2 linked regions of the Canis lupus familiaris genome follow. The protein of the gene in region 2 binds, or shares a complex with, the protein of the main gene of each other region. Links are inferred from orthologs where the notes say so. Each region holds a gene or a part of one and is shown on either strand. Other genes may lie near its edges. The genes, in order: EIF3F and EIF3G.

Region 1 (4,478 bases), on a different chromosome or scaffold from region 2:
CTTTTACCACAAATTTCTGTTCTAGTTCTGATACCTTTACTCCCACTTAGTTTGTTTCTTGACCTAAGACTGCTAGTCCCTTGAGTTCTCCATGTTTTTCTAATCTACTGGCACCACCCATACCAGGCTTCAAGCACTTCCCCCTCCTCCACAGACCACAATGCTGCCACCCATGTGTCTGTTTAATTCCACTTCACTATGGTTTCTGCTCCCTTTGCTAAAACTATGTCTTCAAACCCAGCGGATAAATATGCTTATTTGACCTCTAAACAGGAATTCAATAAACTTGACCATTTCACACTTCTGAAGCAGTTTTAAGTCTTCTGCATTTCCATGCCACAATATCCTTCAGTTAAAGCATTTATCACATTGTATTCTAATTATTTGCATATATCTTCATCTTGAATTTAAGGTTAGAACAGAAGTTATTTTATCAAACTTTGAATTCAAAATATGTAACAGTTTTATGGTATTTAAACAGTACCAGTCATTTCATTTAACCAAATTAAATGTTTCATGAATTAACATCTGAGAATATTCAGAAGCTCCTCGTGAGCAGTCTGTGTTTAATTCTTCAGTGAAGTACTGTCTCTATAACACTGAGCATTATACCATTATCCCAGTCTGGAAGAGGATCTGAAGAGCTAGACTAGTTGGTCTAACTAGAGTCACTAGAGTATCTGGGGGCTCTGAGCATTCTCCCTGGGTTTCTTTAAATAGCTCCAGTGGATTTGGAAAATTTGGCAGTGCAGCTCAAAGAGTAAATAGATTAGTATTCGTCAAGTGCCAACCTTTGTTGCAAAAATCATTTATTTCAGAAGCTCAAAGCAGGACACATTTACAGAATGCTACTATACTTTGGAGGTTAAGAATGGAGGTGAGGGTGGTAATGTGAGACAAAGAACTGACACTTAACACTTTTCCTGGGAACCCAGGAAATGAGTGAAACTTAAATGAGAGAGAGCAGGGAAGACATTTATGTCAAACAGAATACAAAGGCTTGGTTTGAGAAAAACCTTGATGTTTGGAAGATAATGGATCAACTGAAGGTTCTGTGAAATGCTAAATCTTCAAAGAGAGGGCAAATGTGTGTGTGTTGCAAGGCAGGGATTGGGGGTGTGGGGGTAGCCCTGATGTGGTGGAAGACTGCAGTCAACCGCGGTTTTGTACCTAATGGTCTGCCAGCAGTGAGATGCTTTTGGTGATAGTTTAGTTTCTGCAAAGACTAAGTCTAAGTGCCCCGAAAGAACTAGACTTCAGGTAATTTGTCTCAAGGCACATGTTTTTTTTTTTTTTTTTTTTTTTTTTTTTTTTAAGATTTTATTTATCTATTCATGAAAGACACACACAGAGAGAAAGAGAGAGGCAGAGACACAGGCAGAGAGAGAAGCAGGCTCCATACAGGGAGCCCGATGTGGGACTTGATCCTGGGACTCCAGGATCATGCCCTGGGCCAAAGGCAGGCACCCAGCCACTGAGCCACCCAGGAATCCCAAGGCACATGGTTAATATTTGGTGCAATCTACCGTCAAATCTTGTCCCCTTTGCAATTCAGTTGTCTTCTATGCTAGAAAGACTATTACATACATATTCAAGAATAAGAGAAATGACAAACGAGGCTAGAGTCCATTTACAAAGGGATCTAAAATTGGTGACAAGGATGGAAGGAAAAGGACTTTGATGGGATCAGCAGTTCCCAAGAGAAAAGGGCATTATTATCAGTAATCCCTATTTAGCTTCTCAGCTTTACAAATTAACATATCAGGGAGATTAAAAAACATAAGATCAGGATTAAATGTTTAGAAAAGCAGAATATCATTAAAAACCTAAATAGGTTTCTGCCAAACTTGTTGAAAGGGATGTCTTTTTACAGAAGTCCCTACTTCTTTACCAACTGGTTTAAAACGTCCTCGTAAACACCTGGAAAATAAGGACATTTAGACCGTGGAAGGGGGTGGAAGGCGGCGGGGGGGGTGGGGGGCAGCGTTTAGTCGAACGTTTAGTCAAACGTTTCTGACTTCCTCGTCGGCATCTGAACTCATTTTTGGCAGTCTGGGACTAATCACACTTGACCTCAAATGCTAGCGGGGAGATTAAAAATAAAACATAAAACCAGGGGCAGCCCGGGTGGCCCAGCGGTTTGGCACCGCCTTCAGCCCAGGGCGTGATCCTGGGGACCCGGGATCGATCATTCGGCACACGATACTTATTCAGTAACGCACTACGGCTTACGTATTCTGTGTCGACCAAAGTGACAGCAACCTGGCAGGAAAGTGCGAGTTCCTTCAAGGAGGGAAGTCGCGGCAGAAAGACGGGATGCAGAAATAGGTCAAGAGGTCAATGGGATAAACGGGAGGCGAGAGGGTCAATGCGGTTTGACCACTCACCCAGCAGGGTCCCGATAACTCGGGCAGCGCCCTCGTTGCGTCGCTCGTAGCTGTCCACGATGGAAGCCAAAATGACCGGGTGCAGCCGGACCACGCGGCCCCCGGGGAAGGGGCCTGGGAGAGCAGGACCCGGCAGTGACTGCGCCGGAGTCTGCGCTGGGGCTGGCGTAGACGCCGGGGTCTGGCCCGGAGCCGCAGTCGTGGCCGCCGCAGTCCCCGGGTCTGAGGCAGAGGCTGGAGCCGGCGTTGGAGCTGGGACCGGCGCTGGAGCCGGAGCCGGCGCTGGCGCTGAAGCTGGGGTTGCGGCCGGGGCTGAGACCGAGGTTGGGGCCGCGGCCGGGGCGGAGGCTGGGGCTGGGGTGGCGGCAGGAGCACTCGCCGGGGCTGCCGGTGTGGCCATCTTGTCGAGAGAGAAGGAGCCGGGAGCGGAAGGGAGGGAGTTGAAAAGTAGTAGAACACGATAGGCTGAAGATGCACCACGTGAACGAGATCTTTATGCCGATTGGCTACCGGTAATGCTTCTCACGGCACAGTTTCCGGCTCTGAGTTTGTGCTCTTTGATTTCAGACCGATGAGCACTCAAGTGAGGACGGAGCTGAATAGTTCCGGACAAACTTGAGACGGCGATGAGAGAAGAAACCGCTCCGACTGCTCAGCGGCCGCCAGGTGGACCCAGAGTTTCCAGACTTCAAAGGGGTAGTGGACGATAAAGTGCGTTTTAAAGGCACTTCTTCACCGCGTCAGAAGGTGTGGGTGCGGCGGCTTCTTCAGTCACCAGTGTGAATAGGTGCCAGGCGCTGTGTTAGGCCCTCGGAATGTAGATCAGAGGACAGAACAAGGATCGTTGTCCTCAAAAATGCCCAATATCTAGCGGAGAGAGACAAAAGGGTATATAGTATGTTACAGGGTGATGGATGCTATGAAAAAGGAAAAACGAGCGGGGAATAAGGGAGAATCAGAAGGTAGGGTGGGTAACAATGAGAGCGTGAGATCTGAGTGGATTGAAGGAGGCAAGGGAGGGGGCTGTTTTTTTAAAAAAATATTTAATTTATTTGAGAGTGAGCATGAGTGGGGTGAGGGGCAGAGGGAGAAGCAGACTCCCTGCTGAGCAAGGAGCCCCGTGCGAGGGCTGAGATCGTGACCTGAGTCGAAGGCAGATGCTCAACCGCTGAGCCACCCAGGTGCCCGTGGAGCAGGTGTTTTTTTTTTTTTTTTTTTTTGAAAAGGTCCTAAGTTCAATTTTGGAGGTGTCACCCTCATTAGACATCCCAGCAGAATTGTTGAGTGGTCAGGTGGAGATGCTAGTCTGTGCTTTGGGAGAGGGTTTCAAGGAGTAACCCTCTGTAAAGCTCTTAGCATGTGCCTGATACATAGAAGTTATTATTATTATTAAATATTTTATATATTGATTCATGAGAGACACAGAGAGGCAGAGACATAGGCAGAGGGAGAAGGAGGCTCCCTGCAGGGAGTCCTATGTGGGACTCAGTCCCAGGACCCTGGGATCACCACCTGAGCCGAAGGCAGATGCTCAACCCCTGAGCCACACAGGTGCCCCTACAGCCGTTACTATTATTAAGCGGAAGCTATTACCACCGCTATGCAATGGAAAAGAGCTCTGATTCTAACATTGTGTGTAACTTTGGGCAATCTATAATTTTTTCGGAGTCTCAGTTTCCTTCTTGGTACAGTGGGAGTGGTCATATCTACCTGCCAGGAAACCAATCAACTCCTTTTAATTAGATCAAGTCCTGGCATCCAATTGGCAAGTCCAAACTGGGTGAGGTTGGACTTCCTAGCCCTGACCCTTATGTCCAAGAACTGCCTTCTCTTTGGAGCTACCTTCCATAATTAGAATTCACATGATCCAGCTCCCCTGTCAATGTTCTGGGCAGATATACCTTCTTTTAGTCCGCACTTCTACCCCCGCAACACAGTTGAACAGTCTATTGGAGGAGGATTGAAAAGGACCTCAGATTTGGTAACCCGGATCATTACCAACCTTCGCAGAGCAGTGTCCGTGGAACTGCGGGGGGGGGGGGGGTGTGCGCCTGGAGGATCAGAATTCAGGTGTGAGAGTGGTCAGTTTGA
Region 2 (4,543 bases):
TAATACCCTACAGGGACGGCTGGACAATAAACAAGTGAGTGGGAAGGATTATATCAGAGAGCCAAGAATGTTGCAAAAGAAAGGAGGAAGAGGGGCAGAGGGGCCCTCTGACATCTTGATCATTTGAATCAGGAAAACTCTTCCCAGACCGGGAAGTCCAGCCTGGATTCTTCACCACCTGCCACCATACAATTTCTTCAGAAAATTATAATTTCCCCCTCACAGTGCCTGGCCTACAATAAGCTCTCGAGAAGTGAGCTTTAGTGTTATTAGTACCTTTAAATTTTTTTTTCTAAAAACTGGATCATTTATGTGTCTGTTCCTTTTCTTTCTTTTTCTTTTTTCTTTTTAACTGGGGTTCCATTCATTTAGTCCTATTGTTCATGGACTGCTACTTTGTATATAAAACATGTAGAGATCATTTAAGGTTTTGGGCTCCAGAGAGGAATTACTTCTGCTCTCTGGCATAAAATTAGAATAGGAGAAGGTCATCTTTTTTTTTTTTTTTAAGATTTTATTTATTCATGAGAGACACAGAGACACAGGCAGAGGGAGAAGCAGGCTCCATGCAGGGAGCCTGATGCGGGACTCATCCCGGGGCCCCAGGATCACGCCCTGGGCCGAAGGCAGGCGCCAAACCGCTGAGCCACCCAGGGATCCCGAGAAGGTCCTCTTAATTCTTGAATCTGGACTAGCTAGTCCCCTTCCCAAATCTTATTTTTGATATTTGTATTATTTTTCACTTTGCCCATTTTCATAACATTTACATTCTGTTCTGTGCTCATGACCTCCTAATTGTTTAGCGTTCATTCTAGTTATAAATGGATTCATTGTTCAGCACTATTCACTATACTCACATTTTTCTATTTCTGGTTTATGTATTATTATTCATCTATGAGTTAATTAGACTTCATCATTAAGCACTGTCCTTATTCTTTTAATAGGGTCCTTCCATACATTCTCTCATATTTGAAAATGTGCACAAGTCACCTTTATATTCAACTGATATCTTGGTCTTGATACTTCTGAGTCATAGTCCGCTCGCAGTTTTGTGCACGTTGCTCCATTGCCAACTGGCATGGAATGCTGGTGTGGCAAAATCTTAGCTCAAACTGATTTTTCTCCTTTGTTGGTGATTTTTTTAAAATTTTTTATTTATTTATGATAGTCACACACACACACACACACACACACACACACACACACACACACACACACAGGCAGAGGGAGAAGCAGGCTCCATGCACCAGGAGCCCGACGTGGGACTCGATCCCGGGTCTCCGGGATCACGCCCCGGGCCAAAGGCAGGCGCCAAACCGCTGCGCCACCCAGGGATCCCTGTTGGTGATTTTTTTTTTTTTTTTTTTTTTTTTTTTTTTTATGATAGTCACAGAGAGAGAGAGAGAGAGGCCGAGACACAGGCCGAGGGAGAAGCAGGCTCCATGCACCGACCGGGAACCCGATGTGGGGTTCGATCCCGGGTCTCCGGGATCACGCCCCGGGTCAAAGGCAGGCGCCAAACCGCTGCGCCACCCAGGGATCCCTGTTGGTGATTTTTTAAAAATAAATTTATTTTTTATCGGTGTTCAACTTGCCAACATATAAAAGGTGAAATGAATGGAATGAACGAAGGGAGGTGCCACGGCCGGCGCCTCCGCCTCCGGCCGCAGGGGGCGCTGTGGGCGCTGCTGCCGGGCTGCTCTGGGCCGCGGCGCAGGAAGTCTCGTCCTCCCCCCACTTCCGGTCTCTGGCCCGGGACTTGTGCTGCGTGGAGGAGGTTTTGAAATGCCGACCGGAGATTTTGAGTGAGTCGAGGGTCGCGGAGCGAAGCCTGGGAGGCGGCTTGGGGGCCGTGGGGGCGCTCCTCGGGGCCTGGCCTCGCTGACCCAGCCTTCCCCTCCGCCACCTTGCCCTTGCAGTTCGAAGCCCAGCTGGGCCGACCAGGTGGAGGAGGAGGGCGAGGACGGTGAGTACGCCGGGTCGCCCCGGGTCACGGGCGCCTGCGCCGAGCCGGGCACCGCCGTCCGGTGCCGCATCTCCCCCCGCGCCTCCCGCCTCCCGCCAGCCTGTCGCCACTTCCAAGTGTCCGGCTGGCCGGTCCCCCCGCTCCCTTGCCACCGCCCAAGCCTCACAGCTGCTCCGGGGAGGAAGCTGTAACAGCCAGCCTCCTGCTTGGGTGCGAGCGCCGGATGTCTTTATGGGCTGCCCCTCGCTTTCATCCTTGCCATTGCGCGAGATTACTCAGCCAGCGCCACGGCCTGGCACGGCTAGCCCAGGGCACTTGGTCCCCAGGCCTAAGCCCTTGGCCCTGCCGTCTAGGCCCCTGGTGTGGGCGTCATCCCAGAAGTCCCTTCATTTTAGCTTGGGAGCCCTCGCCCCTCCAGCTCACCCCTCCTACCCACACTCCCCTTCCTAGACAAATGTGTCACCAGCGAGCTCCTCAAGGGGATCCCTCTGGCCACTGGCGACACCAGCCCAGAACCTGAGTTAGTGCCGGGAGGTGAGTGACGCCCTCAGCTCCACTCGGGGCTCCCTCTCCCCAGCAGCATTCCCCTCCCCCTCCATCACCCAAGGCTCAGTTACTTCCCCTCTTCTCTCTCCCAGCTCCACTGCCGCCTCCCAAGGAGGTCATCAATGGGAACATCAAGACAGTGACAGAGTACAAGATAGATGAGGATGGCAAGAAGTTCAAGGTGAGGCTGGGGGAGGAGTTGGGGGCCCCTTGGCCCGGAGGGGATGGTGTGTGTGTTGGGTAGGTTGGGTTGATTAGCTCCAGAGCCTTGAAACACAGGAATTCGGAGCCTCTCCCCTCCCCTCCACAGATCGTCCGCACCTTCAGAATTGAGACGCGGAAGGCCTCCAAGGCTGTTGCAAGGAGGAAGGTGAGACGCTTCTCCTCTTGTCTTAGAGGCTCTCCCAGGGCTGGCTTGGAGGAATTAGGAATCCTTTTTGTTGACAGCGTTTTGATCTGATACCTTTATTTTTAGAAGTGGGGTTCAACTCTGTCTCTATTCTGTTGGATCAAGGGGGTTTAAGGTTGAGGGGTGTTTGTGCTCTGTTGGGACCCTGAAAAGTCCAGGGTGCAGAAGTTGGGTGGTTTAGATTAACTCCGCTCAGCTTGTTTACTTGTTTACCAGAAGGAACAGAGCCAAGCCCTCCCCTCAGGCGGTCATAGCAGCTCCTGTTTAACTGGGCTACATGCTTAGGAAGAAGTGATAGCTGTAAATAGCATTGGCACAATTTTCGGTGGACTTCCTCTGTGCCAGACCTCAATGGCAAGTGTTTTGCAGGAAGTGTTTTCTCATTTGCTACCCCTAGCCGTCCTGGGAGGTGGGGAACATTTGAGGTCTCCATTTTAAAGGGGAGGAAGCTGGGATCCCTGGGTGGCTCAGCGATTTATCGCCTGCCTTCCACCCAGGGTGTGATCCTGGAGTCCTGGGATCGAGTTCCACGTCGGGCTCCCTGCACGGAGCCTGCTTCTCCCTCTGCCTGTGTCTCTGCGTCTCTCTCTCTCTGTCTCACTCTCTCATGAATAAATAGATAAAAATCTTAAAAAGGTGGGGAAGAAAGCTGAAGCCTAGGTTTTTTTTTTTTTTAAAGATTTTATTTATTCATGAAAGACACAGAGAGAGACTGAGGCAGAGATATAGGCAGAGGGAGAAGCAGGCTCCGTGCAGGAAGCCCAATGTGGGACTCCATCCCAGGTCTCCAGGATCACGCCCTGGGCTGAAGGCGGTGCTAAACCGCTGAGCCACCCGGGCTGCCCAAGCCTAGGTTTTTTTTTTTTTTTTTTTTTTTTAAGCCTAGGTTTTTTAACTATCTCAAGGCCCCTCACAGTCTGGGTGACCCCTGGGCGTCACTTCCTTATGGGAGCTGGCCCACCTCCTGTCATGGGTGCCTCAGGAATGGTTAACTGTGTGACTGTTTCCCCCTGGGCCTTGGTTCTCTCCTCTGGAACTTGGGCTGAGAGCCGTCCCCACCTCCTGGAGCTGGCCTGAAGCTAGCGGCTAGCACATGCCAGGAGTGGTACACGCTAGGAAATGGGAACTGTCGTTGTCACCACTTTTGGGAGACTTGGGGGAGGGAGAAGAATGTGGTTCAAGGCTGAAACACCCTGAAGGGAGGGCTTTTGTAGGTCGAGTGGTGGTGGGGGTCCCACTTGCCCTTACAAGTCCCCCATCCCGCCCCGAGCCCAGAACTGGAAGAAGTTTGGGAACTCGGAGTTTGACCCACCAGGGCCCAACGTGGCCACCACCACAGTCAGTGACGACGTGTCCATGACATTCATCACTAGCAAAGAGGTGAGTTGGGCAAGGGTCTGGGCCGGTGGCTGTGATGGTGGTGGCCAGGGTGTGGCAACCCTGCTCTGACTGCCACCCCCCCCCAGGATCTGAACTGCCAGGAAGAGGAGGACCCGATGAACAAGCTCAAGGGCCAGAAAATCGTGTCCTGCCGCATCTGCAAGGGCGACCACTGGACTACCCGCTGCCCCTACAAGGACACGCTGGGGCCCATGCAGAAGGAGCTGGCTGAGCAGCTGGGC

What was found.
Region 1: EIF3G (region 2) and EIF3F share a complex: the UniProt entries of both Homo sapiens proteins name them as parts of the eukaryotic translation initiation factor 3 (eIF-3) complex. The link is inferred for Canis lupus familiaris from reciprocal best matches to the Homo sapiens genes EIF3G and EIF3F.

What each region holds. Positions count from the first base shown.
Region 1 is NC_049242.1:32,120,351-32,124,828, reverse strand, and holds the start of EIF3F (eukaryotic translation initiation factor 3 subunit F), read right to left. Parts: upstream 2,812-4,478; 5' UTR 2,788-2,811; coding exon 2,388-2,787; intron 1-2,387. UniProt on the Homo sapiens protein: Component of the eukaryotic translation initiation factor 3 (eIF-3) complex, which is required for several steps in the initiation of protein synthesis.
Region 2 is NC_049241.1:51,337,350-51,341,892, forward strand, and holds the start of EIF3G (eukaryotic translation initiation factor 3 subunit G), read left to right. Parts: upstream 1-1,690; 5' UTR 1,691-1,785; coding exon 1,786-1,805; intron 1,806-1,919; coding exon 1,920-1,966; intron 1,967-2,416; coding exon 2,417-2,500; intron 2,501-2,604; coding exon 2,605-2,693; intron 2,694-2,822; coding exon 2,823-2,882; intron 2,883-4,196; coding exon 4,197-4,301; intron 4,302-4,387; coding exon 4,388-4,543. UniProt on the Homo sapiens protein: RNA-binding component of the eukaryotic translation initiation factor 3 (eIF-3) complex, which is required for several steps in the initiation of protein synthesis.